Astyanax mexicanus: one gene and its partners. The protein of the gene in region 1 interacts with the protein of each later gene in a pairwise test. Links are inferred from orthologs where the notes say so. Each region holds a gene or a part of one and is shown in the gene's direction. Other genes may lie near its edges.

Region 1 (7,499 bases):
TTACAAACAAAAAAGGTCCATTGTTGAGTATAATTTCCTAATATACATATCCAGTATTAATTCACCTCATGAGTAATAGTATAAAATGAATACAATTAAGAAGAAAAAAAATCTGAAATCTGTTGCAAATGAATTGTATTTACAAACATATTACAAGACACCACATGTGAAAACACTACATGCAAACGGAAATATGTACAAATGTAAAATGCCCATGAAAATTCCTGACAGAAAAAGGAGACAGTATTTAAAAGAAATGCAAAGATAAAAGGATAAAACTAGACAAAGCTACTTTATAAACAGGAATAAAAGTGTGACGATTTAGGGTGGTGTCTGATTTTTTAAAAGAAAGGAAATGAGAGCAGAAGCAGTCAGGTCACTTGGATCCTCCACAGAGGGTTGTGAGTCGGCTCTGTGCAAAAGAAAACAGAACAGTAAATCATGTGTTTTACAGTATTTAAGGAATAACAGGCTTCCACTTCACAACAAATAAATACCTGCAGCTGTCTGATACTGCGCACCGCCTTCTCATCCAACTGGCTCAGATCAATACAGTCCATCTCACTGGCCAGCAGCTGAATACACTGAGAAAAGAGGAAACAAAGAGAAGCTGCTGTTATTTTCTGACTAAAAAATAAAAAAGGACACTTGAATTTTTTAGCTTGAGACAGAAGAAGCAACAAACCTCTCCACTTCCCAGAGGGACATTAATGACAATGTCCTCACTGCTTCCAGCAATAGGAGATCCGTTAACAGAGATGCTGTACACCTTCTCTCTGTGACGGGGAACTCGCACTGCAGGAGTCTTGGGCAACCTAAAAGATAAGAGTACATCATACTTAAATTCACATAATTTACCCCCAGGAAACAAACACTGACATTCCATTAAAGAGTCAACCAGGCAACCATGTTTAACAGTAGCCAGTAGCTGATTAAACCTGGCTGCTCTATTAACAGTTTCTTTTAGTCTGAAATTTGGCCAAATTAAAAATTATGGAGTCACCTGGAATCAAAGCGAGGCGTGATGAGTGGTGTCGGACCGATTATGGAGGAATCCAGGAAACTTCTTGCTGGGGTGACCAAAGGCTTTCTACTAGATCTGCAATCAAATAATAATTTACCGGTAAATGAACATTTATATACAATAGTTAATGGTCACCTAAAATGAGCAAAATGTAGATAAGAAATAAAACTTACTTTCTAATAGTGTTGTTCTGTTTGCTGACTGAAAGAGCTTTGGCTTTCTTTGAAGTTGAAGGTGCCTTCTTTTGCCTTCCCTGTGATAAACATGACAAAATTAGGGCAATTGTAAGCCATAGAATAAGGATGGATAAAACTTAAAAAAAACAAACATTTAGCTCTTTAATCTTAATTAAAAAAATGCAAATAATGACAATGATAAAACGAAGAGGGGGGGGGGGGGGGGACCAAACATATCTGAATATGGCAAAACAGAATATTCGCACCTTCAAAATACAGGACCACAAAATTGTTGCAGACCTGATTTCTTTGTTTAGCTACATAATATCTTAACAGTTTAGACTGACCTTTTTTGTCGTAGACTTGGGTACTAAGTTCTCTTCATTTTCTGAGCCTGAGCTGATCTTAGCAGCTATCAATAAACACAGAAGACATGATTAACATCACCATCACAGAAATAACTAAGAATAATATCAAAAACAAGATCAAAAGAAAGCAGTAGTTACCTTTTTTGGCAGACTTTGGAGGAACAGCATGATCATGAGCTATGGTCATCTCTACTTGTGCAGCCACCTCCTTTTGCTGCAAGCAGAAACAACAGATGAAAAATAGAACATGTACATCTCACACATAAAACCTTAAAACAGTCATTCCGAGATGATCAACAGTGGAAATGAGGACTTGCCTTGGACTCATCGACAGGTGCTTCTGGCTTTTCAGAATCTATGTAAAAGAATAAAACATAAGATTCAGAATGTCCTATAACAGTATCCCTTGCCTGTTAAAACACAAACTCTTAACACCTGGTAGATAAACAAAGAACACAATGTGATAAAACATGAATGGAATTATGTAGCTAAAATGGACGGAAGTGTGTATGTACATACCACAGTACTGAATCCAGTTCATCCGTCGCACTGACATAGGCAGCTTGATCAGAGCCATGTTGTACAGGTTGTCTGCATCCTTTAACAGATTGTTGGTCTTGTCCTTCATCCTCTCCACTATGGTGCGCACTGTGTACAAAAATCAATAACATTTGATGTTAAAATGTTACTGAAGCTGAACAGTCCCCTACTAAAACCCGAGATGAGAAACTACGACGAAATCTAACTACTTCCTGACACAAACAAGAGACTAATCTGGTGAAAGGTGAGCTTAGTTTTTGGGGCTAAACTGGATGTAGTAAAAAACATGAAGAGGCAGATACTGGCAAAAATGTCTGTCTGTGTAATGTTTTATAAAGTTGGTGGAAGGGCTTCTCTATGATCAGAGTCATACATTCAGCAACAGACTCCTCCTGTCCTGCTGTAGGTAATTTCTTCTTGCAGCCATGAGATTATACAGCACTGTAAATCTGTTTTTACCAATGATATTGCATTATCTGCACTGGACACTTTCCTTTTAATTATTTTGCCCAGAATTTTTAAATTCACAGCTACCATGCATGCATCATAGTAAGTACTCCAACTATATACTAACTACTCTGTGAAATATCAATACTTTAACACTACTACTTATTAATTATCTTCCAATGTATCCATCCAATCGTCCGTCCGTATCATTAAGGTCACACTGCCATTTGTTTGTCTAGCCAAAAAAACCCTGATCCTTTTCGTTTATAAATAATTGGTTATTCAGTTAAACATATCATACAGCAGACAAAAAAGTGAAATTAGGTTTAGAGGATTTACAGAAAGTGTGCAATAATTATTTAAACAAAATTAGGCATGTGCATAAAAAACATTTAACCAATAAATCTACATTGTATTTTGCACGAGTGTATGTAACTACTACTTATTTGTCAATCTATTCAATTTGTCGGTCCTGCTACAAATATACATACAGCTATACACACAAAAAAACACATTCTGCACTATATACATAAAAATATATATAAAATAAATTTATAGAAAAACATAAAACATGTCTGTGTGAATTGAGTAAAGGACCCAAAATAAAAATTACTTAATAGCTGTGATAAAAGCTGTGGAGCTGTGGTCTCCATCAAAATTAAATTTCCATTATTGTCATTTTCCTGTTAAAGGCAGTTCATTATACCAAAACACTAGCTAGAATTATAATACAGTATAGGTTTAACATTGGAATAATACAAAAATAATAAACAAAAGCTTAAAGCTCACATTTTAACCATATTTTAAACATTTTACCTGTTGGGATCCTCCCAGCTGGCATTTTAACTGTAGTTAGTCTTTTTTAATGCAAGCTAACTGCGTAAGCAGCCTTAAAGTTAACAATAGTCAATGGTTTTAGTGTAAACAATCTTACCTTCATCATCGAAGTCCAGAAGAAACGCTTCTAATTTCGGCATTTTTATATTCTTCTTGGTTTTAGCGTTGGTTGTTCGTTTTCTCGGAGCCATTGTGTTTCTGTAAGAAAGAAAGACGCAATGCTGAGGCTGACTAGCTAACTACTGTAGACCTGTAACATAACACTAGGCCAGATAATTACACGCTAAATGTTTAATTTTATGCACACTTAAACGTGTAAACATTGTGTTAACAACACTTCTAAGACAATATTCTTTACCTACCTGTTCTGAATTCTTTATATTCCTTTATATTTCCTTTTATTTTTGTATATTTTTCTGCTCCTTTCGCTGCTTTTCGACGCTCCCTAAACTGGTGGCGGTTGGAAGCAACACTTTTCAAATTCATTCGCGGAGCAGCAGCTCAACCAATGACCGGGCAGCTTCTGTATGCGTCTATTACGCCGGCGTCACGGACCAATCAGCTACTGTTTAAGGAACAATACAAAAAACGACCAATCGCTGAAGAGCTTAGTGGAAAGCATGTGTCATGTGTTTTGTAGCTTAGTCCGAAAAGATTTTCTGTCAAAATAAGAGCCCCCTTAAATGGAATAAAAAAATTGTAAAAGAAATACTATGAACTAGTTTAATAATATATAGAGTATAAAACTAATTAAAAGCTTTTTGAAACATATAAACGCATACATAATGTAGATAATAAAATAAAAAGTAAGAAATTGTACTAAAACAAGTATTATGTTACACAGTTTTGCGGAGATATAACTCTAATAATAAAAAAGAGACATTATAAAGAACAGTATGTTTCTTACTTTTTCTTTGATTATCTACATTATTTTATGCGTTTCTAAGTTTTAAAAAACGTTTAATTAGTTTTAAACGTTATATATTGTCAACCTAGTTCATAGTATTTAATTTACAGACTTAAAACAGAATTTTATTACATTTTGGGGGAACTTTTATTATGACAGAAAATCGTTTTGCACTCTGACTTGCATCAAAATGCTGGTGCTGGGTTTGTTAATAACTAAGCTAGCTAGCACGTGTTGGGTATTAGATGGTAAACATTCTTTAGAAGACTATAGAAAACATATAACTGGGTATGTTTATGTTTGTCAGATATGTGAGCAGGGATTGAGCGTTTAAATATATACATTGAGCATTTATATTTCATACTGAGGGTTGATATGTTGGTCAGATTAGCAGTATTGGAGCTAGCTGCACTCAGACAGGCGGTAATTTAGTAGTCTATAGTTAGTTAGATTAACTATGTCTCAGCCTGCACTGCTGCTCTTACAGCAGGAGCTAAGGAAATGCTTCCAGAGTGTTCAGGTGAACAAGGAGGTTTGGAGATCTGCTCTGGTCGAGTGTTCACCTCTGATCAGCTCTCTGGGGAACCTGGCCGAGCAGCTGAGGGCGCTGAAGAGTGTAGATCTAGCCAGCACTCCGCTCTGTCACTTTCCAGATCTACAACCACGTCTCCAGCACAAGCTGGCACAGGCAGTAGACACTGTCTTAGGGAAATTAAGTGAAAAAATGTAAGTTCATGCATATATACACTTTAACTTGTTGCTGTACATACAGTAACAGTCACACCTCTTTTCATTCAATGTGTTTTCTTTCTTTTTATGATTTTTTTACATTGTACATTTAATATTAAAGACTATATTAAAGCTGTACAGTAGATATGGCCCTAAAATAATATCACAATATTTCATGGTATTTCCATGATAACGGTACTCTTAAAGATATTACAAAATACTGCAACAAAATGAAAATTAAACTTTATCATTGCATTATTGCACAATATGATATTGACTTATTTTTACCTGCATTTCTAAAGCAGGGTAATGAAAAGGAACAGTCCTTTTCATTTGGCATAAGGAAAACAAACAAATATAAAACAAGTTAAATAAAAATTAACACACAAGATAAAAGGTAATGCAGACAAATATGTGTTCAAAAACAGTTTTTTCAGTTTTTTTCTGTAAAATAAACCTTTAGCTGTTATTTAACAAACCAATCACATTTGGAAGGCCAGAACTACATTTAAAAGTTCAACTTTGAATGTATGTCTGAAACCTACACCGATTTCTTGCACTGCAGGTTCTTGGTGAATTAAGTCTTCTGATTCTACAGATACATGCTATCAAGTATTTTATTCATAATTTCAAAATGTTATGTATGCTTTATACCTCTCTAGCTCATGTCTAGCAATTGGCGAATGCAGTGTATGTATATGAAATCCTGTACTTAAAGGAAGTGAGGAAAGTTTTTCCTGTTTTGGGTTATTAAGATTTAAACAGCGATGTTATGAATTTTCTCATCCATGAGTGTTTTGTTTTATTGCTCTGCAGAGAAACACTTCAAGGAGTTCGGGATTCCACAAGTAAGCAGGTGTTTGCAGTTTTCCAGCTGTATGAGCAGAATGCAGACTCCCTGGATCTGCACACTTGTGTTGCCAGATCTGCCACTTCTCCATCTATTGCTGATATGTTGGAATGGCTCCAGGATGCAGAGTGCTACTACCGTGTTCAGTATCCTAGACGTGCTAAGATTCATCAGTGGCATTTAGAAATTAACCTGACATTTTTCTTTTTATTTTATTGCTATCACCGGTCATGTTGATATCATAACATTTAAAACATTGAATTTTAGTTTTGTTTTACTATAATTGTTAATAGAAATGTAATAGCTTTCCCCTTGCCTTATCACATTTCAGATTATGATTTTATGTTAACCAGTTTGAAACAGCTAATTTGGTCTTTTCTCTGGTGCCAAATGTTACACGATAGTTCAGTCATCACAATAAAAATGGCTTTTTTAGTTGCCAAAACAACAATGCTGGGCTGTAACATACAGCTGTTTTATTAGCAAATAAATTATACTTGTTTAGACTTTGTATTAATTCTTGATAAGAGTCAGCATCGGGTGTTTGATTCTAGTCACAAACCTCACAACTCTGCAACAAAAAATGTAAGTAAACATGTGAATATTCTGACAAATCATGCCTTTTAATGCAACCGAAATTGTAGAAATGTATTAGGATGAGCAGCATCTGAGTCTCAAAGTCATTATAATTGTTAATGATATGGCGCTCTTGAACAATAGGGCTGGTCGGATTCTTTAGATTAGTCTAGTATTTCAAAATGATTTTACATTTTCCCTTGATTTTAGTTGTTTTTGTGAGCCCTTCAAACGAAAAACCATATGTCAATCAGTTATTTTTTTCTTTTTCATTTGGAACTGTTTTTACAATAAAAATACTTAATATTCAGATGTAAGTCACAAAGGCAGTTAAAATAAAATAACTTAGTATAGTAAAGAAAATAAATGATTTATTTTAACTTAATAGATTAGTGTGAAAAGTAGAAGTATGTTATATTATTCTCCTCAGTTACATCCTCAGATACATACAGAGGAAGAACCTGTTGTGGACCTTAAAGCCTGATGACCTCACACTGATGGAAGCAGCACCAAAGAGATGGGCATCTTTAGATTCTCCTGATAAAGAAGAAAGAATATCAGGTAAAATAGTTCTGCCACCAACAGATACTGAAGCATTCTGCTGTTTTCCCATTCTGCTCTTCATTATATAAGTTATGTAATGTATTTATTCTGTGTTCTTGTTTTAGATGCACTTTTTCAAGTGTCCTTCTTCATGGAGTCGGAGTGAACAGTGTTACTGAGCCGTGTGCTGGCTAACCACTTTCTGCCCAGCTTACGTCACTCAGTTACGAGCACCTGGCTGGAAAAGAAGTGTCACACTTTGCTGTAATTACCAGACAGAGCCTTAGTAACATGAGTTTCAGAGATGTGTCTGGTAATGTCTGACTCTCATCTTTGTGTGCTACAAACTTGTGAGCTTGTGATTTGAGTTTTCAAGAACTTTAGTGCTAATACTTCATTCCATTTAAACTCAGATCTCGGGATTTCCGAGTAGGAAATTTCAACTGGAATGCCTCAACAAGACTGATATCCCTCTTAAAAAGTCAGGAGAGTCGTACAAACT
Region 2 (7,633 bases), on another chromosome or scaffold:
GCTGGTCATCAGGGGGAAATAAATCCTATGCTGAAAAGCCAGCTGGTTGACCAGTTTAGGTCTTGAATGCTTGATGAAATAGCTAGTCCATCACAATCATCAACAATACATCCAGTATGGTATTTACAGTGATGCTGGTCATTCATCTTGGTTAGGTAAGTCATGTTACTGGACCAGCAAAACCACCAAACTTAAACAAAAATATACGGTATGATGGTCAACATGCTTTGTTACACTGTTTGATCCTTTTCAGGATTGCCACCAAAATGCTGGTCAAAAACTAGATCAGTCTTTACCCGTTTGATTAGCTTGAGTTGGCCAGGTTGTTTTTTTTTTTTCTTCAGCAAGATTCATACAAAGTACGCCAAATAATCCTATAAAAAGAAGGGTGGTAATCCAGATGTACTCTAACAAAATGAATTTGTCCTTTTGGTATTTAGTTCCCCCCCATTCTGAAATGTACCAAAAATGAAAACAATTCATTGTGCAGTTTGAGATCATATCATGCCACAACTAAGGATGTTTTCAGACATGAAAGTTCATGTCTTCATGTTCATGTGTTTGGTTTTATGGTATACTTTTGGTCCCGTTTGTTTAGGGGAATCCAACTCCCCTTCACCTGCACCCCGCAGCAGAAAGAGTGTAAATTATCATCATCATATTCCTTTTTTCTGTTTGCAATTGTGTTAATCTAATGTTACAGTAAATAAATTATTCTCAGTCTAAATGTTCGTGTCCATACTGATTGTTTTTAAGACTGCCTCAGTGTTCTGTAATTGGTCCAAAAAATCTGAACAATCTAGAAAAGTGCTTTCATGCTGCAGACGAACCAGACTATGGTTCAGTAGATCCGGACTAAGGCAATCTCTTTTGGTTGAACCAAACTCTGGTCCTTTGGTCCTGGAATGAATTGCACACCTGCTACTTTGGTTCGGAACGAACTGAAAAGTCCAAAAGGTCCTGACCAAACAAGATAGGATGGAAAAGCCCTCTAATTTCCTAAAGATCAGTCTTTAACTACATAAATACACACATGAATGCATATAAATGGCATGTAAAAACGTTTTGCATTCTTTTCTCACCTGTTTCAGCTGACTCCTCCTCTTTGACAACAGCATAATGTTCTCATTCAGGGAATCCCAGTCTTTAGCCTCATAACACATCTGCACTATGGCCACCAAAATCCTGGATGTGGACACCATGTCTGAAGCCTGGATGTAAGAAAAAAGGCGAATGGCATTACAGCTTAAGTTTATATAACTGTTTCATTTTTCATTTAATATGATTTGTCGAGTAAGGTGAAGAGTGATGGAACAGGCAGACTAACCGTCCTTGTTTGCTTCTCCAGAGACAGCAGGCCTTCAACAGCTTCCTGAAGTCTCCCTTCCTGACAAGATGAAAAAGCAACAATACATTAACAACTTAATTACAGTGCATTCCTACATTGGGATCTCTTTTGCACATCCATGCACATTTGTATCGGCCAATAACTGCTTTTTTTTTCTTCAGCATCGATAGATGCCGACATAGTTGCAGACGTTGGTTACACTACTACAACTCCATTAGCTACTTTAAAATGTGTATGTATTTGTACATCATTGCATCTCTAGTGCTTTTTCAATCAATCTGAGGAAGACATAGAGCCCTATTTTAGCAATCTATATCAGAGAGTCACTTGCCATTCTATTTAAGAGACAGCTGTGCTCTGACTTTGGCGGATTGGTATTTAAGCGTCTTTGCTATTTAAACGATGCAAGTGTAAGGCATAGACTGTTTGCGGGGTGTACGATAGCCATGAGCATCACAATGCCCCTTGCACAGGGTGCAAGATAGGGCCCAGGTTCTCTTAAGAGTTCTTCCTTTTTATCTGAAGGATTATTTTTCTTAATTAGGCTACTAAAGAGAAGTATTGACTTTGCTGCTTTTGATAAGAATCTTTGTGAAAAGCACTATATAAACACATATGAACTGAAGTAAATTGAATTGGATTTCATTTACAGATGTTTTACATAGTTATGTTTTGCTTTAAACTCTTCACTACATACAGCTTTGGAAAAAAAATAAGGGACCACTTTACCAAATTGAAAACCTCTGAAATATAAATCAAGAGGAAGATGGATGATCACAAGCCATCAATGTATGAGCATCTGAATGTAGGAAATCGGGCCTGGACTGACTCAAAACACAAAACAAAGCTAAAACAATGACCATGTATTTGGTTAATAAGTTGGTTTGCTGATTTTAGTCCAATTCTAATACAAATCACTGTAGTTAACAGTATTGTTACTGGATATTTTCATTAGTGGTGAACTAATGTGCACTAACTAATGCTTCTCTTACTATATCTGCTTAAAGACAAGAACCAAATCCATGATTTCCAGTAAAGAAAGGAGGAAAAACAGCTTTCATACTGATGGCGTATAGCTTTATTAGCAGTAAATAGACGTAACCCTTTAAGTAAGCCCTAAGAGCAGAAGACTATAAACACTGTAACTACAGTTAACCTACTGTAAAGCAAGTCTGCACTATAGTGTCACTATGACCAGCTAGTAGCTAACTACTATATTTAACATTTTGGTCACATTTAAGCCCATATTTCAGTTTATTACACATAAGGAGTGTAAATAGGTGCGTAACAGTAGCCAGCTTGGAGCTACACATTCGTTAACTTAAATAAAATCCACTAAGCTAAGCTAAGCTAAGCTAACTCAGGCTAGGCTAAGCAGTGCGATGTAATACAATGTTAGACTAGGCTAGCCTATGCTAAGCTCACTCTCCGCACCGTGACTCAGCCGCTAAACTCCCGTTTCATTCAACTCACTTTTGCCATTTTCTCACACTCAGGGAGACGCTGGTCTACAGTCGAGCTGTAGTCGATCTCCATCTTCACAATCTTGCCATCCGACCTCTCAGACCTGTCGTCAGACATCTTTATATTTATTTAACTGTGGTTTAAAAGAGAACAACAAATTCACCCGATACCTTCCACACAGGCTGCTAATGTGCTACACAGCTAAGCGCTGCAGACGAAACCTATTTCTTCTGTGGTCGCCGCTGCGGAAATACACCGAGTTACAGCTACAGCCGCCAGGAGGTGGTGTGCTTTCACAAGTTCCCTGCATATTCTGCTCCCCCTGGCTTCCGGTCTCAATACAGGGACAATATCTGAAAAAAAGAATATAATTGAAAAGTTACTTTATTTCAGTAATTCAGTTCAAAATGTGAAACTCATTTACACAGAGAGCAATCTATTTTAAGCGTTTATTTATTTTATTGTTGATTATTATGGCTTACAGCCAAGTAAAACGCCTAAATCAGTATCTCAGAAAATTTTAAGATTATATAAGACCAATTGGTACTTTTGGCAATGTGGGCAGTGTGCCAAGTCCTGCTGGAAAATGAAATCCTCATCTCCATAAAATTTGTCAGCAGAAGGAAGCATGAAGTGCTGTACGATTTTCCAGGAAAACACTGCACTGACATAACACAGTGGACCACGTTAGACCTCTACCTCCACTTTTCCTCCAGACTCTGGTTCCTTGATTTCTAAATGAAATGCAACATTTACTGATGATCAGTGATGGTTTGAAGAGTCATGTCATCTGCTGGTGTTGGTCAAAGTCAGTGCAGCTTCTACCAGGAGATTTTACAGCACTTCATGCCTCCCTCTGCTGACTTTTTTTTGCTGACTGATTTTACGGAGATGGGGATTTCATTTTCCAGCAGGACTTGGCACACTGCCGTTGTCACAGCTCTGTTTTGGATCTGCTGGAGGAATACCAATATTTGAGGTTAACAGCATATCAGTTCCACGTACTGAACTATTATTGTTAAGTAAAGACAAATCAAATTTGATATTTGGGGGGGTATATAAACCTGTACATTTTAATTTAATAACACCAATCTGTCATTATTGTGTCATATAAAAGAGTTAAGAATGTCAAAACTCCCTTCTTGGCTTGAGCTGGATTTATTAATTGTAGGCACTAAAAAACTGAGCAATTGTATCACTGAATATGTTGTCTTCAAAATTATTAGCAACATTGGCAATGTCATTCGATTAATTGCAGAAATCCAGTAAAAAGGACTGTACCAAAACAAATACATTTTCACTCCACTTATTTGGAACTTCATCAGGCAACTTATAAGGAAAAGTATGTACTATAACCACAGCGTCAAATCAAACATTACAGAAGTGTACATGTAATTCACATGTTATTACTACAAAAATATTATTTACATTTTATATATTTTAAAACAGTAAATGTATAATTTATCACATACACATACGTATATTTCTTAAAGGTTTCCAATATAATCACTGTTTTAGTAATAGACAATTTCCAAACTTAGACAATGTTTGTTTTACAATATTTACATAATAGCAAAATATTAACTCTGGTGATAATTACAGGATGTTATTGTTACGGTGTCTGGTTTTTAATTTTTATCTGGGCCTTTTTTTTGTAGTATAATCTTTCCATTATGATTTATAAATCAGGCAAGCAGGATAAGCTACTAACTACAGGGTCCTTCGGGTGCAGAGTTGTGCAGGGAAGCACAATATGATGCACCGCCTGAACCGAATGATCAAATGTTGGCGCGCCCTCTAGCGGTTACATCAGAAAGTGTCGTTTTTTTGTTTTGACAAGCGGTGCTCTGAGTTAATGACAGAAGAGGGGAGCCGGTGACAGCTAGCTTTGATTTTATTAATGGTTCTGTCCGCGTTATTAAACCTATGTGCTCCTGTCAGAGCGCCGCCGAGTCCGCGAACAGAGCCGGTCTAGAGAGGTCTGTGCGGGCCGGAGAATTTCAGGCCGTTTTACGGCTTTGTAGTTCACGTCCAGCTTCGCAGCAGCAGCAGTAGCTAGCTTAGCTAACTTAGCTTGGCTAACCTGTGTTAGCTTAGCCTAGCCACCCCTCAAACTTCCTCTGCGGCCGTTTGAATAAGGAAGCAGCAGCAGCAGCCTGTTAGCTTAGCCAGGCTCTGCTAGGCGCGTAAACACAGCTCGCCATGGAGGGTGTGTCCGAGTGAGCGCGTATCTCTGTCCGGGTAAATACAGCGCCTTTTCTCGGGAGAAATGGGCGACGGAGCGAAGGCTCAGCGCCGGGAGCAGCTGAAGCGCTGGTCGGGCTCCTGTACGGACCAAGAACCGGCGGTTCCGCGGAGGCGCTGGAGGGGCGAGGAAGAGGAGGAGGAGGGCGACGAGGATGAAGGCGAGGCGGTTCTGGAGGGGAGACTGCGGGATGGAGACGGACCTGTGCGGAAAAAGAAGATTAAACGAAGGTTTTTAAATTAATCTCAACATCTTTTAAACACATTTACACGGCCTCCTTCATCTTTACAGCAGCGAGGCTAAAGCCCAGGCTGTTAGTCAACAGCAGAGCCAGAGGTTGAGCAACCAGTGTCTTCTTTCAGGCCAGGTAGCGTTATCTATCTAATCAGGATCACTCCTCTACAGATTCAATTTACTATTTTTGTTGTCTCTGGGACTAAGCCATTTGTATTCAATACATACTATACATTGATATTAGGTCTAAAAGTGTAATTAGGAGCTCCGAGTGGTCCAGTGGCTAAGCGCTGCCTCTATAATGAACAGAAGATTGCCGGTTCCAATCCAGGTCATGTAGCTTGCCATCAGCTGCCGGAGCCCTGAGAAAGCACAATTGGCCTTGCTGTCTCTGGGTGGGTAGATGGCGCTCTCTCCCCACATAGGGTGATGTATCGATCAGTACAAAGCGTCTGTGAGCTGATGTATCGGAACCGAGTCGCTGCGCTTTCCTCCGAGCACGCTGACTACTCGATAATGCTGCCTCAGCAGCCGTTCAAAAAGAGGCAAAAAGAGGCTGACTTCACATGCGCCAGAGGAGGCATGTGGTGTTGGGGCATCACTAGTGATGTCCAAATGAGTGGGTTGGGTAATTAGCCATGTAAATTAAGGAGAAAATGGGAAACAAATAGAAATAAAATTCTATATAAAAGCGTAATTATAGTATAGTATTCACACACTGAAAGAGCAGGTTGATATGGTTTTATTATCATTTACTATTAAGTTATATCACATGACATTTTCACAATACACATTTATCATATATTGTCACAGACAAATGCATCAGCTGCATCAGATTCTAATATTCTGCTACTCAAATGCCCTTTCATGTATAGTACTGTGATTCCTATGTAATTTTTTAGTTTTGTGTTTATTAAGTACTTATGGTACCCTTATTGATATGCTTATATGATGTGCTTATTGTCAAAATCAATATAGTGTTCAGCTCTAATACATATTAAGTCACATGATGTCACAAGAAATATATGTCATTCTCATTAGATTATAATTCTTTATTATAAAATACTATTCCATTATCATAAGATGACAAGCCATTCTATATAGTTATTCATTATTAAGATACTAAGCATTATGAGATGCTAAGCCGTGATGTAATGCTAGATCATTATCGTGAGATTTTCATCTTTATTATGAGATACTTAGCCTTTTTATGAGATACTAAGCTATTACAGTTAGTTACTAAGCCATTACATTAGATGCTTGGTAAGTCATTGTTTTGAAATAGCAAGGGATTTCAGTGAGATACTAAGCCATTATCCCAAGATGAAGTAATTATCATGAAATCATAATCACATCTCTTTGTGACATACTAAGCCATTACAATTAGCTACTAATTATGAGTTACTTAGTCATTGTCATAAGATTATACATTTTTGTTAAATAGTAAGCTGGTATAATGAGATATCATTATCACAAGATAACATCATTATCATTTGATAGTTATTATGGGTATCGAAATTGTCTCTCCCTTTCTGCCGCTGTCTTTCCATCATGGGCTGTGTCTCGTCTCGTTGTATCAAAAAATTTACCCATTCCTAGTTATGAGATAGTAAAATATTGAGATATTAAATTGTTATTATGGGAAACAACATAATAAATAAGTTGGGGAGTTTGAATTTTAGTACAGAAAGTAAAAATGAAGAGAAAGAACACAGGTTTTTGTTCTCACCCTCCAGTTGGGAGTGGACTTCCATACTGACAAGAAAGAAGCCCACAGTGTTCTGTCCTACAACACAATATACATAATACAATAGAGGAGAAAATGCTTGTGCCGGAAATTATAATTACAGTACAGTACACCCCCATGTTTGTTTATCAGTAATACTGCGATTTTCATATGTTGGGTTAACCATAACAATCCCATGTTATCAAAAATAAGATGATATAATAAAGTGATAGATGTTTTTCTTCATGTGGTGTAATTTGTTGCATTTGTGGCATTTTAGATAATACAAGTTCAGAAAATACATAAATGAAAAGGAGCCTGTCACATATTAGTTTTATTAGTGCACTAGATGGGTCTGGTTTCTTGGTTGGGATCTTTCGGCTGAAACTCAGTCGTTTAAAAACAGAGGATGACATTTTGAAATACTAAAGGAAAGGAATGGGGGGTCAGAAACGAGCTATGACAAGCATGGAACTCAGGATAACGTGGTCAGTGAGATAAAGAACAACAGAAAGCTCCACATGGTTTCGTTTTGGTGTAGTGCTTGGCTAAGATGAAATGGAAAAATGGCTTTTAAATAATCTCTGGGTGTGTAGTATACATTGTTTAGCTTGTT
Region 3 (7,095 bases), about 22 Mb from region 1:
TTAGTTTAACGGGAAGTCAGATTTAGGAAAAATGTCTGTTCAGTTTTACATAAACCATAAACCAATCTGCTGATGTTGGCTTCTTCCACATATAGATTCATAGGTTGTCTCCGCCCACAAAAAAAAGAGGTGGCTCATTACTGAAGAGGACCTGCTACCATTCTAATCGCGACTGCCCACCAAGTTTCATTCTTTCTTTTTTTATTCCTTCTTTTTTATTGGCTTTTGGCTGAAAGCGGTTTGATGACAGTGCCCATAGCAGTTCTATAGTAAAATTATAAAGTAAATGGGTGTGTAGGGCACTGGGATTAAATTATGCAGCACCGCCTGCCAGATGGCAGTATTGTAAACAGGTCATGTGTAGTAGGCCTATTGTCTAGCCTTATTTAATGGGGTTCCCCAAGGCATTGCAACTTATAGATGTATGTGTGTGAGTTGCTGCCTATGAAAATTTCACTGTCCTTACCATTGTCTGGTGGGCCTCTGTCATATATTGCCTTTACAGAGAAACCCTGACCAGCTCTTTTTTTTTTAAGAATGTGTCTGGGAGATATTCTGACACTCAGCTTTGTTCAACACTCTACTAAAACATCCTCATTTCAGCCTCCCTGTCCTCCCAGCATTAACATGCATCCTGGGAGATCTTATCATAAGTGGTTAGCATAAAGTACAGGTGTGAACGGGAAACAATCAGTCCTGATGACACATTTCAAGCCTTCAGAGGTGGTTAGAGATGCATATTGTTATTGTAGTGTTATTATTATATTATTATTGTAGTGTGACGATCAAAGCACCACCCACATTAACTGCGTCATGCTGCCCCTGCTGAACCAAGCTCATGGCAGGGTGTCTATGAATTCTTCAAAAGTCAAATTTTGTTCTAGAAAAGGGTTTTACTTGTCTTTAAGTTTCTTACATTATAAGTAAGTAAAGGTCTAAAACATAATAAAACTAAAAACAATTTTGGCTTTATTTTAATGTTTTTCATTTTCCAAATTCCATATGCCTCAGTTAGCTTAAATTATTTTACTGATTTAACAGCAGACTGTAATAAGCAAAGCCAATAGCATTATAAATGGCTCAGAGGGTTGCTATTTTCACATACATAAATTACTTTCTTTTAGCTAGAGGAGACAGTTCTCCAGGAATTACTAAAAACAGTAGACAGTAAACTCCAGTTTAGCCCCGGATTTGGTCGAAATATTGGTTTGTCATAAAAATACAAGAACCACAAGCTGGGTGTGCTGAGTGGTCCAGCAGTTTTAAGTGCTGCCACTATGACCAGGAGATCGTTGGTTCGAATCCTGGTCATGCAGCTTGCCATCAGCTGCCGGAGCCCTGAGAGAGCACAGTTGGCTTTGCTCTCTCTGGGTGGGTAGATGGCGCCCTTTCCCCTCTTCCCTCGTAGGTTAATGACGATCAGCACAAGGCGTCTGTGAGCTGATGTATCGGTCGCTGCGCTTTTCTCCGAGCGCACTGTGATGCTACTCGGCAATGCTTCATCAGCAGCAGTTTGAAAAGAGGCGATGTCTGTCTTTCTGATTCATGTGCTAGTATTCACTCTCCTTGTCTTGTGGCATCACTTGTGATGGAGGATATACAGTTGACTAGCAGCTGAATGGGTGGGACAATAGCCCTAGCTACATTGGAAGAAAATAGGGGAAAATGTACATTTAAGTGAGTGTTTTGGGCTTTTAGACATAATTATTATTGGGAATGTGGTCTTAATTTGTATTTGAGTGGTATTAAAATGTCTTAAATGTAACTCTACCAAACCTGCAGCTAACCTGTACTGGGTAAAAGTGATACTTGTGACTGGTGTCCAAGTGAAAATCCAGGCAAAGAAAACAGGAAGACTCCTACTACAACGAGCTCAGAGAATATTGTGAGAGCGGCTGTGTGTTTTTGCAATCATTTGTGACTGGGGCTTAAGGTTCTGTTTCATCTGGTTACCATGTGGATCCATAGACTAGTCAGACCTGGCAGCACAGGCTGTTTAAGCAAGTGAATATAGCGCCTCCTATTGGTGTCTGAATCTGTATCTATATACAACAGACGATCTGTTGATTCCCTATTTTGGAAACATATGTAGTTACATCTCTAGTGAGCACAAACTTGAGAAACATATATATGAATATGAATTCATGCCATGTTTACAAATCAGCCTTTAAACAGGTTCATTATTCAGTGTGGACCCCCATAAGGACCCCTGGGGTTCAAAAGAGAACTGATGACATTCTTGACTTTTCACCTCACCTTTTCACCTCACATAACTGGAGTAGAGCAATTTATGACAAATGACCTGCACTATCTGACCCACTCTTACTTTCCTCTGCTTATGCTGAGTGGGTGTGGACACCTGCAGCCCATAAGCATATATTGAGTGCATGCTTATGTTTACTCAGACTCATGCATGTGTGCACAAACCTGAAAAGTGTGTTTCTATTCATGATACATTCACTGGTAAGACTTTTAGCAGCAGTGATATATTTTACTTTACAGTATCCTGTATAAACTACAGTCATATCAGTTTTGTTTGGTTGTTGTAGATAAATTGCAATAAAACACATTGATGTTGAAATATCAAAAAGCTCCAATTCGTCCTAGTGTCCAATTATTACTGAACGTAAATGGAACTCTGAATTGACTATAACTGAAATGTTAGTAACAAATAATTGTGTTAAATTCTTCACATCAATATAAAGAAACTCATTGTGTGGTTTAACCACATTTCAATGGTTTGCAGTTAAATTGTGCATTATAAAGTTTTATTTTTGTCAGTGTAAATGCTTATTTTTCTTCCATATTTTACAATTCCCTCCAACAAAATTACAAAGTACAAAGGGATAAAACAGTGCAAATATGTGCAAATATTGGACGAAAAAAAAGTCTATCTAGCAAATCCAATGTAGTGCCATGCGAGCCACCAACCGAGCACAGTGCAGCCTGATTTTGGGTGTGTCAGTGTCTCTTTGATATCATAGTTATGGGAAAAATACTCCTCGCATGGCTTGAAATGCACAAAAGGCATGTACTAATTCTCTTAATTAATCATAGGTGTTTTGGGTACAACATAAAATAAACCTACTAGCATATCACTTGCCTCACATTCCCTTTAAGAACCAGGTGTGCCCTCTGACTTTGGCAGATTGGCACTTCTGCACTTCTCAGCAGAGGAAACTGACCAGGCTCGTGCACACTGTGAAGGTAAAGCAATGTTATTTTATTTTGTGTTAATTATGTTAATGTAAAAGTTGGGTCGTGCAGTGCTGCTGCCCAGATAGCAATAAACATCTGACATTTCAATGTTGAATGCAGGGTTTTAATAAGTCAGTGGCACACCTGTGTTTTCCATTTCCCATTATAGCAATATGCCAGAAATGTACCTATGTGTACATATATATTTATAAGCGCCTTTGCTATTTGAACAACACTGGTGGAAGACGTGAAATAAGATGTGAGATAGGCCCCTGAAAGTGTTCAATTTTGACACTCGCAGCGTTAATTTAACACTATTAAATATACTGTATAGTCTTTTTTTTACTGGTTGTCAATAATATTTTAAGAAGGTATTTATCGTTCCTCCATAATAGATAATGCTCCTTTCCCAACTAAATTGTGCAGATGCTTCTTGATATCATAAATGTTTTATTAATACTTAAACCTGCAGGTGTAATATAGTCTTCTATGAAACTATAACTAGTGTAAGTTAGCTGTATCACCATACAGACCCTTAGGGGTTAACGGCTTATCTACTGAATGTATCATGTTTAGCAGATTGACTTTACATAACTCTGAGCTGAGGAAAGTTTCTCTGTGAGGATTTATAACTGACATTTTGGAATCTGCTGTATTATTACTTTTCAATGCCTTTGTTGGGTGGGTGTAGACACCTGCAGCCCATATGATTTGTGGGAGTGTGTGCGTGTGTGTGTGTGTGTGTGTGTGTGTGTGTGTGTGTGTGTGTGTTTATGGACTCTTGTGCATGAGTCTATTTGCCTTCAGGGGTTCAATAATCCTCCTCCTCCTCCCATTCACTCTCATTTATTCCCTCCCCTCTCAACCTGTATAAAAACTCACCATCCCTCACTGCTGCACTCACTCCTCTTCAGCCAGAGCAGACTGACAGAAACCCTTCATCAACATGAGCTCCACCTACTCCACTCGTGGCTATTCCTCAGGGGGATCCCTGATTGGAGGATCTGGTGGCTCAATGCGCATGTCTGCTGGTGGAGCCGGAGGCCGTATGGGTTCCATGCGGTCCTCTAGTGTGTATGGAGGTGCAGGAAGCAGTGGGGTTCGCATTTCCAGTGGTCCTGCTCTCCTCCGTTCAGCTGGAGGTGCCGGAGGCGGCTATGGCTTTGGTGGTGGTGCTGGAGGAGCTGGAGGTGGTTATGGCTTCGGTGGTGGTGCCGGAGGCGGCTTCAACATGTCCGATACTGTTGATGTGTCCGCCAACGAGAAGGCCACCATGCAGAACCTCAACGACCGCCTGGCCACCTACCTGGAGAAGGTGCGCTCTCTGGAGAAGGCCAACGCCGACCTGGAGCTGAAGATCCGCCAGTTCCTGGAGAGCAAGACATCACCCACAGCTCGAGACTACTCTGCATACTATGCCACCATCACTGACCTCCAGGGCAAGGTATGTTGAGTTGTTTTGGTGGTCTTAAAGGACCCTTTAAAGTGTAAGATGGGTCCATTGGTAGGTCAGGACACTCTAATGATCTGAGTTTCTCTCAGATCATTAAACTTATATTGTAAACTTATATTGAGCAATAAGCAGATGTTTAGGCCGTTCTTCTGTTTACTTTACAATGACTGAAATGTTTCTGGGTTGACCTCCTTCCATTACCGTATCAGTTATTCTGTATGAGTATAGTTTCCATTAGAGTGTAAACCACACCCAGTGCCTACCTCAACCCACCATTCAGTTAGAACATAAAGCACTCCTACACAACTCTAAAGAAGGGCTCATCTCAAATAATACCAAACAATGCAGAAATACCACTGACCTTTCAATGTGACTTAATGCTAATTTGCTTCTTTATTCTTTCTTGAAGATCCAGGATGCCACACGTGTCAATGGAGGCATCTACCTTAGCATTGACAACGCCAAGCTCGCTGCAGATGACTTCAGAGTCAAGTAAGTCCAAAAAAAACAGACGTAAATCTTAGCATTCCTCATAAAACTGAACATTCTTGCAGATTTTTGATCCATCCATCATGTCTTACACAGATACGAGAACGAGCTGGCGATGAGACAGTCTGTTGAAGCTGACATCGCTGGGCTGAGGAGAGCTCTGGATGAGCTGACCTTGGCCAGGTCCGATCTGGAGATGCAGATCGAGGGTCTGAGGGAGGAGCTGGTGTTCCTCAAGAAGAACCATGAGGAGGTGAGTGTGTCAAAAAGCCAGAAAAGCCAAACTGACCTGCAAATATACTTATGTCATCATGTTGCTTTAAGTCAATGGTTTGTTTGACACTGTTTGACACTGTCCTTGCCTTGCATCTTCAGGAACTCTTGGCTGTGCGCTCCCAGATGAGTGGACAGGTCCACGTAGAAGTAGACGCCAAGCCACAGGAAGACCTCAACAAAGTCATGGCTGAAATCCGTGAGCACTACGAGGCTGTCGCTGCCAAGAACCGCAGAGATCTCGAGGCTTGGTTCCAGGCCAAGGTAAATTAAAGCTAAAAATACATATATATATATAAGTTTTGGGTATTTCTCTGTATTTTATAAACTGCGAACCTTACTGGACTGTTATAATAGTTTTTTTGTTTTAACTTTATTTTTCATAGACCGAGACCTTGAACAAAGAAGTCGTCAAAAGCACAGAAACCCTCCAGACAAGCCGGTCAGAAATCACAGAGGTCAAGCGCACACTGCAGGGGCTCGAAATCGAGCTTCAATCACAACTCAGCATGGTATGTAACTGGCAGAACACATTCGCCTCCAATCAAATTAAAATAATCTGTCCTGGAACACCATTACCAAACTGATCTCTCCCCAACAGAAAGCCTCACTGGAAAACACACTTGCAGACACGCAGGCACGCTACTCCTCCAAGCTAGCTGGCTACCAGATGCAAGTATCCAACATGGAGGAGCAGCTGGTGCAGCTGCGCGCTGACCTGGAACGCCAAGGTCACGAGTACCAGATGCTGCTGGACATCAAGACCAGACTGGAGATGGAGATTGCAGAGTACAGAAGACTGCTGGATGGAGAGACCAGTGCCAGGTGAGTTTCCACAGCGAAATAGCAACATTTATTGTATTACGCATTTTTCTCAGAATTTAGACTCAGCAATAACAGCATTAAATGTTTTCCTTTTAACTGACTGGTCTTTTTTTTCCTCAATCTTTTTACCTGAACAGCACAACCGCGAAATCGACCTCCAGCTCCAGCACAACCCGCAAAGTGGTGACCATCGTGGAAGAGGTGGTGGACGGCAAAGTGGTCAGCTCCAGTTCCAAGGCTGTGAGTGGGACCTTGTGAACAAACTCACAAGTACAGCAAATACGAGCACTCTGAGCATCAAGAAACCCATCGCTACCTGATGCACAAATCAATAAAGTGTTCAAAGCATTACTTAAGCTTATGAGTGTGTTTTTCAGTTATTCTGCTTATGTTATGGAATATAACGATGGAACGGGTTGGGATGCTGGAATTTGTGTATGGCCTAAGGTACTACTTGTAGAAATCATTTGGGAAAAACTATGAAAAAAGGATAAGAATGATCATGAAATGCAAATAGTGTAAACATGATTAAATACATACATTTATATTCTTAATAGCCAACATAACAAGAATGTAACTATGATAGATTTAGGGTACAAGCTCATCCTTCTCTGATTGACACCATAGCACAAAATACACTACAAAAGCATAAAAAAGCATGAATGCCACATACTCTCAACTTTGTTTGTTTATTCAAATAATATTTTTTATCTAGATATGTTCATGTCGATAACAAACAGGGGGGTAAATTCTTAAGCGTGTTGGGGTTTAGGGTTGGGATCAGGTTTTGGGGGTGATGTTAGGCTTAGGTTTTGGGATAAGATAAATATAGTGATCATGGTGAGGTTTCATATACA
Region 4 (7,898 bases), on another chromosome or scaffold:
GGCTTAAAATAAAGTACAGAAGTACTTTGATTACTATTGGGTTTACTTTGTCTCAAAATTACAGAATATATTAAGAAATCAGACTTTATTAAAATAACAGCTGAAGAGTTTAAACAACAGACTTTAAAAAGAGAACAACTAACACATCTTTTACCAAACTAAATATCTTAAATAGTTCCATAACCTATAAATGAACCTAAAATACTCAATGTAAGTATATAGGAGATATTTCTCAAAAGCTCTATTGCACAAGTAAAACACAAGTTTATCAATTTACAGTGTGTTATTATTGAAGCCATCAGAGACATTACAGTATTTAAGGAGCTGTTTATTAGTTTATCATAATTCCCCTAGTTCTCCAGTTGACAAATGAATTAAGTCCGGTGTGCATTAATATTATCCTTTAAGCTACAGTATTAATTAATGTATTTAAACACAGCTTTAGTTACTCATATTGCAAGAAATAACAGCAGAGGCTGCAGGAGTTCTAATCTCATGTTTCTTTAGGCAAACCAGCGTGAGACTGAGCTGAGGTTACTGTGCTTCTTCTACATATATAAACAGAGCTCCGGAGCACCTCTAGTGGTAAAGAGAAAATGGTATGAGAAAAAAAAAAAAACATACTGTTTCAAAATCTCTCTCCGGTGTACCATACGAACCAGTATACCGCCCAGCATTACTTGAGTATCAGGATTATAGCCACATAAGGTCAGACTAAGTGTAAACACAATTCTGGTGGCTAAAATCTTACAGGATACAATCCAGATACTAGTCTGATGAAGTGACCAGTTGTACACAGAATCTTATATATGCAACAGAAAGTGATTAATGTTTTCTATCCACAGAAAACACATTTAACAAAACTATATGTATATTTATTTACACGCTTACAATGGCTTGTCAGTGAAACATTAGTTGGTGCCCATATACCACTCAAAAAATGTGTGTGGAGGAAGGTGAAGTTTGCCAACAGTGCCCAACATGTCCAACTTCTACCATGCAGTGCCCACAGTTAAGAATGGTGAAAGTCCAACACCTGCTAGTACCATATGTGATGCTACAAGAAAGGTCTTTAAGACAAGAAGTCAACCAAAACAGCTTTATAAAAAGAACAAGTAACATGTTGCTCCTAAAAGTACATTTTACCACATTTAAGTACTGCTGAAATGACCTCTAGCTTGGGTAACCACACAGCATTTTTTTTATTAAACAGATCTCTCGTCAGTGGCTATTCATCAACCATTCCCTTTCTAAAGCAGATGCAATATGCAGTCAAAGTTGTAGGGTTTGAGTCGAGAATCCAACAGAATTACTTGTACAAGGTTTGTTTTCAGGGAGAAAAGAGAAAAAAATAAAACAAAAAAAGGTTACATAAAAAAGGATGAACTGAACTAAACCAATACTGAAGCTATCAATGTAGCTATAAAACTTGACTATTCTCCCTTTCAGTATGACTAAATTATTTCACACTGTGCTCCTTAAAAAAAGGGATATGGTTTTTGTAGGTATACCGACTACACAATACATAAAACAAATGATCTACCCAAAAGAACACTCAAGATTTTAAAGTTTTAACACAGCTTCAGTAAAACACTCACTATTAAGTGTGTAAAAACCCTAAAATCAAGAACAAGCTACGTACAATGTAAAAGAAGAAAATCAATGAGTAGCTTCCAAACAAAATATTTTTTTAAGTAGTCTCAGACAGAGATGAAGCCTATCTTAGACCACAGAGTATTCTGAATGGAGATTCTCCATCAAAAGAAAAAAATATTCTATGACCAGGGTCAACCAGGAGTCCGGCCTTAGTGTGTAGGGGTTAGAAACTGACATTCCATAGAACAATGATTCATGCACAGTTGACTTATCCAAATCCCATGCACAAAAACAACAGTGAACACGTGCTTTAAAACACTACCACAATGCCTCGTGGTCATAAAAACAACAGGCATCGCAGGCAACTATTTTGCTTTCTGGAAAAGGAGGTCTTGGATGAACTCAATTTAAAAATAATCCCTTTCAGTCTAAATTTGACAAGGTTTGGTCGGCCATCTTAACCCAACCAAACTTGCATTCTCCGTTCAACAAAACCCGACACCACCCCCCACCCACCAGTCAAACCTGCTGCACAAATAATGTCCACAACAGCTGGTGACAAGGAGTTAAAAAAGACCAAGTGTCAGACATAGTTAGTTGTAAATACCTTAAGAGGAAAAGCTTTAACTTACTGCCATCAGGATTTTTTTTAAATCAATCAATCTACAGCAAATGAGCTCCAAGACCCCTAAACACAGAGGTTAGTCTACAATCTACTATAAATGAGCACTACATACCCGTCTCCACCTGGGGCTGCTGCATCTCCTGCTCTGTCACTGGGACAGTTTCTGTGGCTTCGCCTGGCATTGTTGTCTACAAAAAAAATAAAAATACATAAATAAAGAGCAAACTTTTTCAACTTTACTCACACAATCAGTAAACAAGAGTTTAATTAAGTTAAAATCAGTTAAATGATTAAAAAGTTACAAATTTCTTTAACACAAGCTGTACTAAACTGAACCAATGGTTAACAAATAGTGCAGGGTTTGGGGGAAATAAATTATATCTTTAAGACCAATATTATGCAAATCGATATATCGATATAATCGAATATATGTCTTGAGTTGACCATCAAGTGTTGTCATATTATAAGCAAATTTTCAAAGATCAGACACTCAAGTAATTCAACTAAATACATGTGGGAAAAGAACAGCATTAGGTGTGATCCTTGCCCATTTTTGCTGAATCATTATTTTAACAAGCCAATTCTCAAAAGCTCTAGTGGTTTACGTATTTATTTGTATATTGACATAACCTCGTAATATATTTGCTGACCTTAGTATTGCCCCCTGCGTTTACTTAGCTAGCAGGAAGAACCCATTAATGTGAAAGAGTTTTACATTAATGATGTTTAATATATTTAGGATATGTAAACAAACATTAAGAATAGAAGTCCGGTGCTCTGTAGAATGTAATGTGTAATGCTTCATTATGGTTAAATCAGTAGCATTACACATGGCTTGGAATAACTATTGCAGTTTTAGCAGTATTTTCTGGGACTACAGCTGTTATATTGTCCAAAACATTGGTGAGAGGCCTACTAAAAACCAGAGTAGATGTGTTAACCCAAAAGAGCATATGATGAAGTAGCTGTGTCACAAACCATTTAAAAGATGTGTAAATCTCCCTACAGCATTCTGTCATTTTAACCAAGTGTAGTTGCTAAGTGACTGAACTTTGTAATTAAGTTCATTACAGGACAGTGTGTGTGTGTGTGTGTGAATCTGACCTTATTTGGGTTATGTGCTGAAGATAAAACTAGCTCTTTTTAAAAGTAGATTTTTAGCTTGCAGCTGTTACACCATTTAAGTTAACAATTTAAAATGCTTTAACTCGACGTTTTAGAATATATACAGCTCTAGAAAAAAAAAAGAGACCACTTAAAAAAGTTTTTTTGGATTTTACCAAATTGTAAATCTCTGGAATATAATAGAGAGTAAGAAATAATCACAAGCCATCAAACGAAGTTGAACTGCTTTAAATTGTGCACCAGGAGTGGCATACATTTATCCAAAAGCAGTGTGTAAGACTGGTGAAGGAGAACATACATGAAAACGGATATTGAAAACCAGGGTTATTTCACCAAATATAGATTCCTGAACTCTTAACTTTATGAAAATGAACTTGTTTTCTTTGCATTATTTGAGGTCTGGGAGCTCTGCATATTTTTTTTTGTTATTTCAGCCATTTCTCATTTTCTGCTATTTTTACCAGAGCCGTATAGTTGGCTAACTTGTTCTAACACAAACTCTAGAAACTGTTAGGATACAGGTTATGAAATTGTTTAATCATTTGTGTTTTCAGGATTTTAACCTTAAAATATTTGAAGTCATGTGCTCATAGTGACAACATAATCGAATGAGCTACTCACATGATTTTTTCTGAATATATTTCTGAATTCAATAATTAGAAGTGGGTCTGAGCTCTTGAGGGTTAAAAAGTAAATGTAACAACGTTGGTAAGTTAGCTAATTAAAACATGACTAACTAGTTACCTAAGGTCAGTCCAAACTACGAACTATCTAGTTAGCTAAGCTAGCTAACGATCTAGTAGCTACCCTATGTATTAAAGTGCTTGGGGAAAGGGCTTTAAGTCATGTTTAGCTAACTATTTTGGCCTTTTAAATAACGTTGGGCTACTCAGGCTAATCTAGCTAACGTACTAAAGGAACTATAGAGCGTTAGGTACTGTAAAAAACGAAATACTACACATACATTTCCATGTGCCAACGTGACTAGCTAGCTTAGCTATCTAAAATGTTCTCCATGAACATGCTAGCAAGACCTGAAGCGCTGCTACCTATCTAGTTAGCTAACCGCTAGCTCTCCAGTTCACAGGCAGCCCAGACCTTAGTGTTCATTAGCTAGCTGGCTGGCCAACCTTACGAACCGGCTCTCTCACTCACTAAACACTCTAAAGAATTTTAGCTTCACTAAAAATCATTAAGAAAAGCCTATATACATATATAACTAACTATATTACTAAAAAACACAACTGTCATGTTCCAGCCCAGCCAGACAGAAGGCGCTGCCTCAGCTCCCCCATTTTGAAGAGTCTGCCGGCAGCATTGAACCACAATATCTAATATTTGGAGACGCGAAACGGGCCAATACTCAGCCCTTATCCGAGAAGAGCTTTTACCCAACGATTCTAGCCGGTTCTGGCAAAGCAAGCAAGCGTAGAAAGCTCGGATGCCACAAGATTGAAAGAAGGAACACTTACTAGGTCTGGGCTCGGGGTCCAAGATGGCTGTGAGAGAGGGTTTCTGACCTCTGCGTCACTGTGACATACACACCGCGCTTCCTGTACAGAGACAGGCCGACAGGAAGGAGCTGCGCAGTTTATAGCTGAAGATTAGCGCTGTCTGCTTAGCGCTATACACAGACAGGTGAGTGCTGCTGCTGCTGGTGCTCGTTTTCCTGATTTAAATTAAATTATTTAACCTAACGGTCTCTGTTGGTGGATGGGTAATACACAAACAGTAGGCCTAGCTAGCGAGATTAGCTAGCATTCGCTAACTTTGGGCTAACGTTACTATAACGCTGTTGTTGTGGGTTAGCTAGCTGGCTAACCAAGCTAATGTGAAGCTAGCTAGCTCATTTAGCTAACCTGGGTCCACACACCGAATTAGATACTATTTAGACGTATTAACGGGTTGCCGTAAGGATTAACGACCTCTAGGGTGAATAACAGCTGTGTAAATATAAATAAGCTAGTTAGTTAGCTAGCTATCTCTTTTATAAACAAAAAGCCTCCCCTTCAGTCTAGCTAGGTTAGCTAGTTAGCTTAGCTAGTTTAGCTAACTAGTTAGTAAATAAGCTGAGTGGTTCTAACATAATATCCCAGTAACTCTTGTGCTGCAGTTGTGCCTTACTCAAAAATAGGTAGGTTTAACCTCTTTCATGTAGTTTTCGTTTGTTAATTTAGTAGCTAATTGTTTCTATTAGTCAGTAGCTAGCTAGCCTGCTAATGGAATGTGTCCAAATGTTTAACTAACAGATGAATTAAATGGGTACAGAGTACCAATCAAACGCTTGGACTTCTCATTGAATGTGTTTTCTTTTCTTTTTATGTTATTTTTTTTACATTGTAAATTTCATATTAAAGACAGTAAGTCTGTACAGGAACAGCAACATGTGCAATTATTTTGTCAACAAAAAGTGTTAAACAAGCAATACTTGCTGAAAGAAATTATAAAGAAAAACATTAAATGAGAGTGTGTCCAAACTTTTGGCTTGTGCTTTCTGACTGCCACTTTCAGCAACTATTGTGCTGCTGTTGTGCCCTAGTGAGAAACACAGAAACTAGCTTGTGATGAAGTTCATCTATTGATTGTGCAAATTTTGTCTGTTAGTGTGTAGCTAGCTAATGATATGTGTTTTTCTCTGATTAACTGTAGAGACGTATCTAGCTGGTGGTTTAGCAGATTATCTATATGAGTGGGAGATATGTCATAAACGTAAAAACACAAAAAAATATCAAAATAAAAGACGTTTTAGTTAATGTTCTATAATATCTATGGTATGCTCAGAAAAAAAACAGTACTGTCACATTGCCCAGTCGACTGAATGCCATTCATTGTATGTGCTATTTTAATTCCTGCAGAATAATGTCTATGTCCCATCTGTATGGGCGTAGAGGAGGAGAGGAAGAGGAGGATGGGGTCGAGATTGAGAAGTTTGAGGTGTCTGAATGGGACTTGGCCAATGAGTTTAATCCAGATAGACGTCGGCACAGACAGACCAAAGAGGAGGCTACTTACGGAATATGGGCTGAACATGATTCTGATGATGAAAGACCCAGCTTTGGAGGCAAGAGGTACCCAAACATTACTTTAATTTCTAAAATTAATTTATGGTTAGAGGTTGTTTTTTTTCTGATACCACACTCAGGAAAACACTTATTGGTTTGCTAATACATAATGTTTGCTATAAACAGTGTGAAAAATGTGAAGATTTACATAGCAAATCTGTCATCACCCTCTCTAAATGTAAAATGTGAACATTTATGCTCAGAGGGCTTGATATGACCAAAATTTATATTGTGATATGTCATGTTTTGGTCAATGAGATATAAAACCTTTAATAGATTTTAACAGTATACAAGTCACCACCTGGGGTGTATTTAATCATGCACAGATTGAGCTGGGCAATATGGTAAAAGTATTTTATCTCAATATAACACAATACAGATATTTTCCTGACACAATATTTATCACAATGTTTTAAACCTCTTCTGCTGCACATCATCCAATTAAACAGGATATTTACACCCCTTGTAATTAAATGTAAAGTTGGGTCAGAGTACTTTAAACCCTGATGATCCTTAATATATTTATTATGATGATGTTAATATGGTAGGAATATTTATTACCTTCAGTTTAGACCCATTCTATTCTTTCATTGAATATATAATTTACCAATTCCCTATTTCCAGAACCACCACTTTTAACCTTTCTATAAGCAATAACTGAAGTCAGTTACTAACTAAAACAATTAGCATTAGGATGGTTTGCTTCTGTTTTTGCCACTGAGAAGATTCTAATTTTGCTCCATATGTGAAAAACTGTGTAGATCGAAGGACTACTCAGCCCCTGTGAACTTTATAAGTGCTGGCCTGAGGAAGACTGCAGCTGAAGAGAAACAACAACAGCAGCAGGGCTCTGATGATTCAGACGAGAATGAAGAAGCAGCAGCACCACCACCACCCCGTGCTACTGCACCCAAAAAGCTTCAGACGGTAGTGCAAAATACTTACATTTGTAATGCTGTTTTTTTGCCATTTCATTTTGCTTTGTGGGTATTCTAGCATTCACAGCTAATTTCACTGAATATAATCTGGCAATTTGGGTCTAATGTCTCATTTACGATCATGCTTTTTTGTAAGATACATATTTCAACACAATTGGGTATACATACGTTGCCCATGATATCGCAAGACAATTCTCTATGATATTTCAAAGCATCTGGATTACTAAAGAAGATTTAAAATTTATTTAAAAAAAAAAAAGGTAAAGACCAGAAATGATTGGATGATTTGGATTATAGATTTATTGGTGTCAGTTTCCCAGATTTTGACAACCATTATTTTTTAACCTGTTTATTTGATTAGTGCCACCACGTGGAGTAATGAAGCAGTAACCTTATTAAGTCAAATTTGGGGGGTTTACAATGTCTATGTTTCAGGAAAAATATTGATATTTAATGCCTTGTGCCAATATTATTTAGCTTTTCTAAGACTTATAGATTTCATTGTAACTATTCATTTGGTTTACATCCTCCAGGGTGGGAACTTTAAGACTT

Evidence for each region.
Region 2: the proteins of c19h1orf109 (region 1) and ppp1r12c interact in binary tests that used the Homo sapiens proteins (3 or more experiments, as listed by UniProt). The two-hybrid records come from large-scale screens. The link is inferred for Astyanax mexicanus from reciprocal best matches to the Homo sapiens genes AIRIM and PPP1R12C.
Region 3: the proteins of c19h1orf109 (region 1) and keratin, type I cytoskeletal 13 interact in binary tests that used the Homo sapiens proteins (3 or more experiments, as listed by UniProt). The two-hybrid records come from large-scale screens. The link is inferred for Astyanax mexicanus from reciprocal best matches to the Homo sapiens genes AIRIM and KRT19.
Region 4: the proteins of c19h1orf109 (region 1) and tfip11 interact in binary tests that used the Homo sapiens proteins (3 or more experiments, as listed by UniProt). The two-hybrid records come from large-scale screens. The link is inferred for Astyanax mexicanus from reciprocal best matches to the Homo sapiens genes AIRIM and TFIP11.

The regions. Positions count from the first base shown.
Region 1 is NC_064410.1:53,551,185-53,558,683, reverse strand, and holds the start of c19h1orf109 (uncharacterized protein C1orf109 homolog), read left to right. Parts: upstream 1-4,477; 5' UTR 4,478-4,756; coding exon 4,757-5,025; intron 5,026-5,844; coding exon 5,845-6,024; intron 6,025-6,896; coding exon 6,897-7,015; intron 7,016-7,122; coding exon 7,123-7,163; 3' UTR 7,164-7,499. Other genes in the region: cdca8 (borealin), read right to left, coding at 377-412, 498-584, 686-815, 1,004-1,099, 1,198-1,277, 1,548-1,612, 1,707-1,782, 1,886-1,923 and 2 more. UniProt on the Homo sapiens protein: Part of the 55LCC heterohexameric ATPase complex which is chromatin-associated and promotes replisome proteostasis to maintain replication fork progression and genome stability.
Region 2 is NC_064412.1:31,240,524-31,248,156, forward strand, and holds the start of ppp1r12c (protein phosphatase 1 regulatory subunit 12C), read left to right. Parts: upstream 1-4,633; 5' UTR 4,634-5,081; coding exon 5,082-5,287; intron 5,288-7,633. Other genes in the region: psmd12 (26S proteasome non-ATPase regulatory subunit 12), read right to left, coding at 1,083-1,211, 1,328-1,387, 2,822-2,929. UniProt on the Homo sapiens protein: Regulates myosin phosphatase activity.
Region 3 is NC_064410.1:31,872,309-31,879,403, forward strand, and holds keratin, type I cytoskeletal 13, read left to right. Parts: upstream 1-4,085; 5' UTR 4,086-4,144; coding exon 4,145-4,642; intron 4,643-5,060; coding exon 5,061-5,143; intron 5,144-5,236; coding exon 5,237-5,393; intron 5,394-5,515; coding exon 5,516-5,677; intron 5,678-5,799; coding exon 5,800-5,925; intron 5,926-6,014; coding exon 6,015-6,238; intron 6,239-6,375; coding exon 6,376-6,496; 3' UTR 6,497-6,589; downstream 6,590-7,095. UniProt on the Homo sapiens protein: Involved in the organization of myofibers. Together with KRT8, helps to link the contractile apparatus to dystrophin at the costameres of striated muscle.
Region 4 is NC_064420.1:33,029,880-33,037,777, reverse strand, and holds the start of tfip11 (tuftelin-interacting protein 11), read left to right. Parts: upstream 1-4,894; 5' UTR 4,895-4,984; intron 4,985-6,201; 5' UTR 6,202-6,205; coding exon 6,206-6,414; intron 6,415-7,169; coding exon 7,170-7,335; intron 7,336-7,879; coding exon 7,880-7,898. Other genes in the region: naca (nascent polypeptide-associated complex subunit alpha), read right to left, coding at 2,334-2,403. UniProt on the Homo sapiens protein: Involved in pre-mRNA splicing, specifically in spliceosome disassembly during late-stage splicing events. Intron turnover seems to proceed through reactions in two lariat-intron associated complexes termed Intron Large (IL) and Intron Small (IS).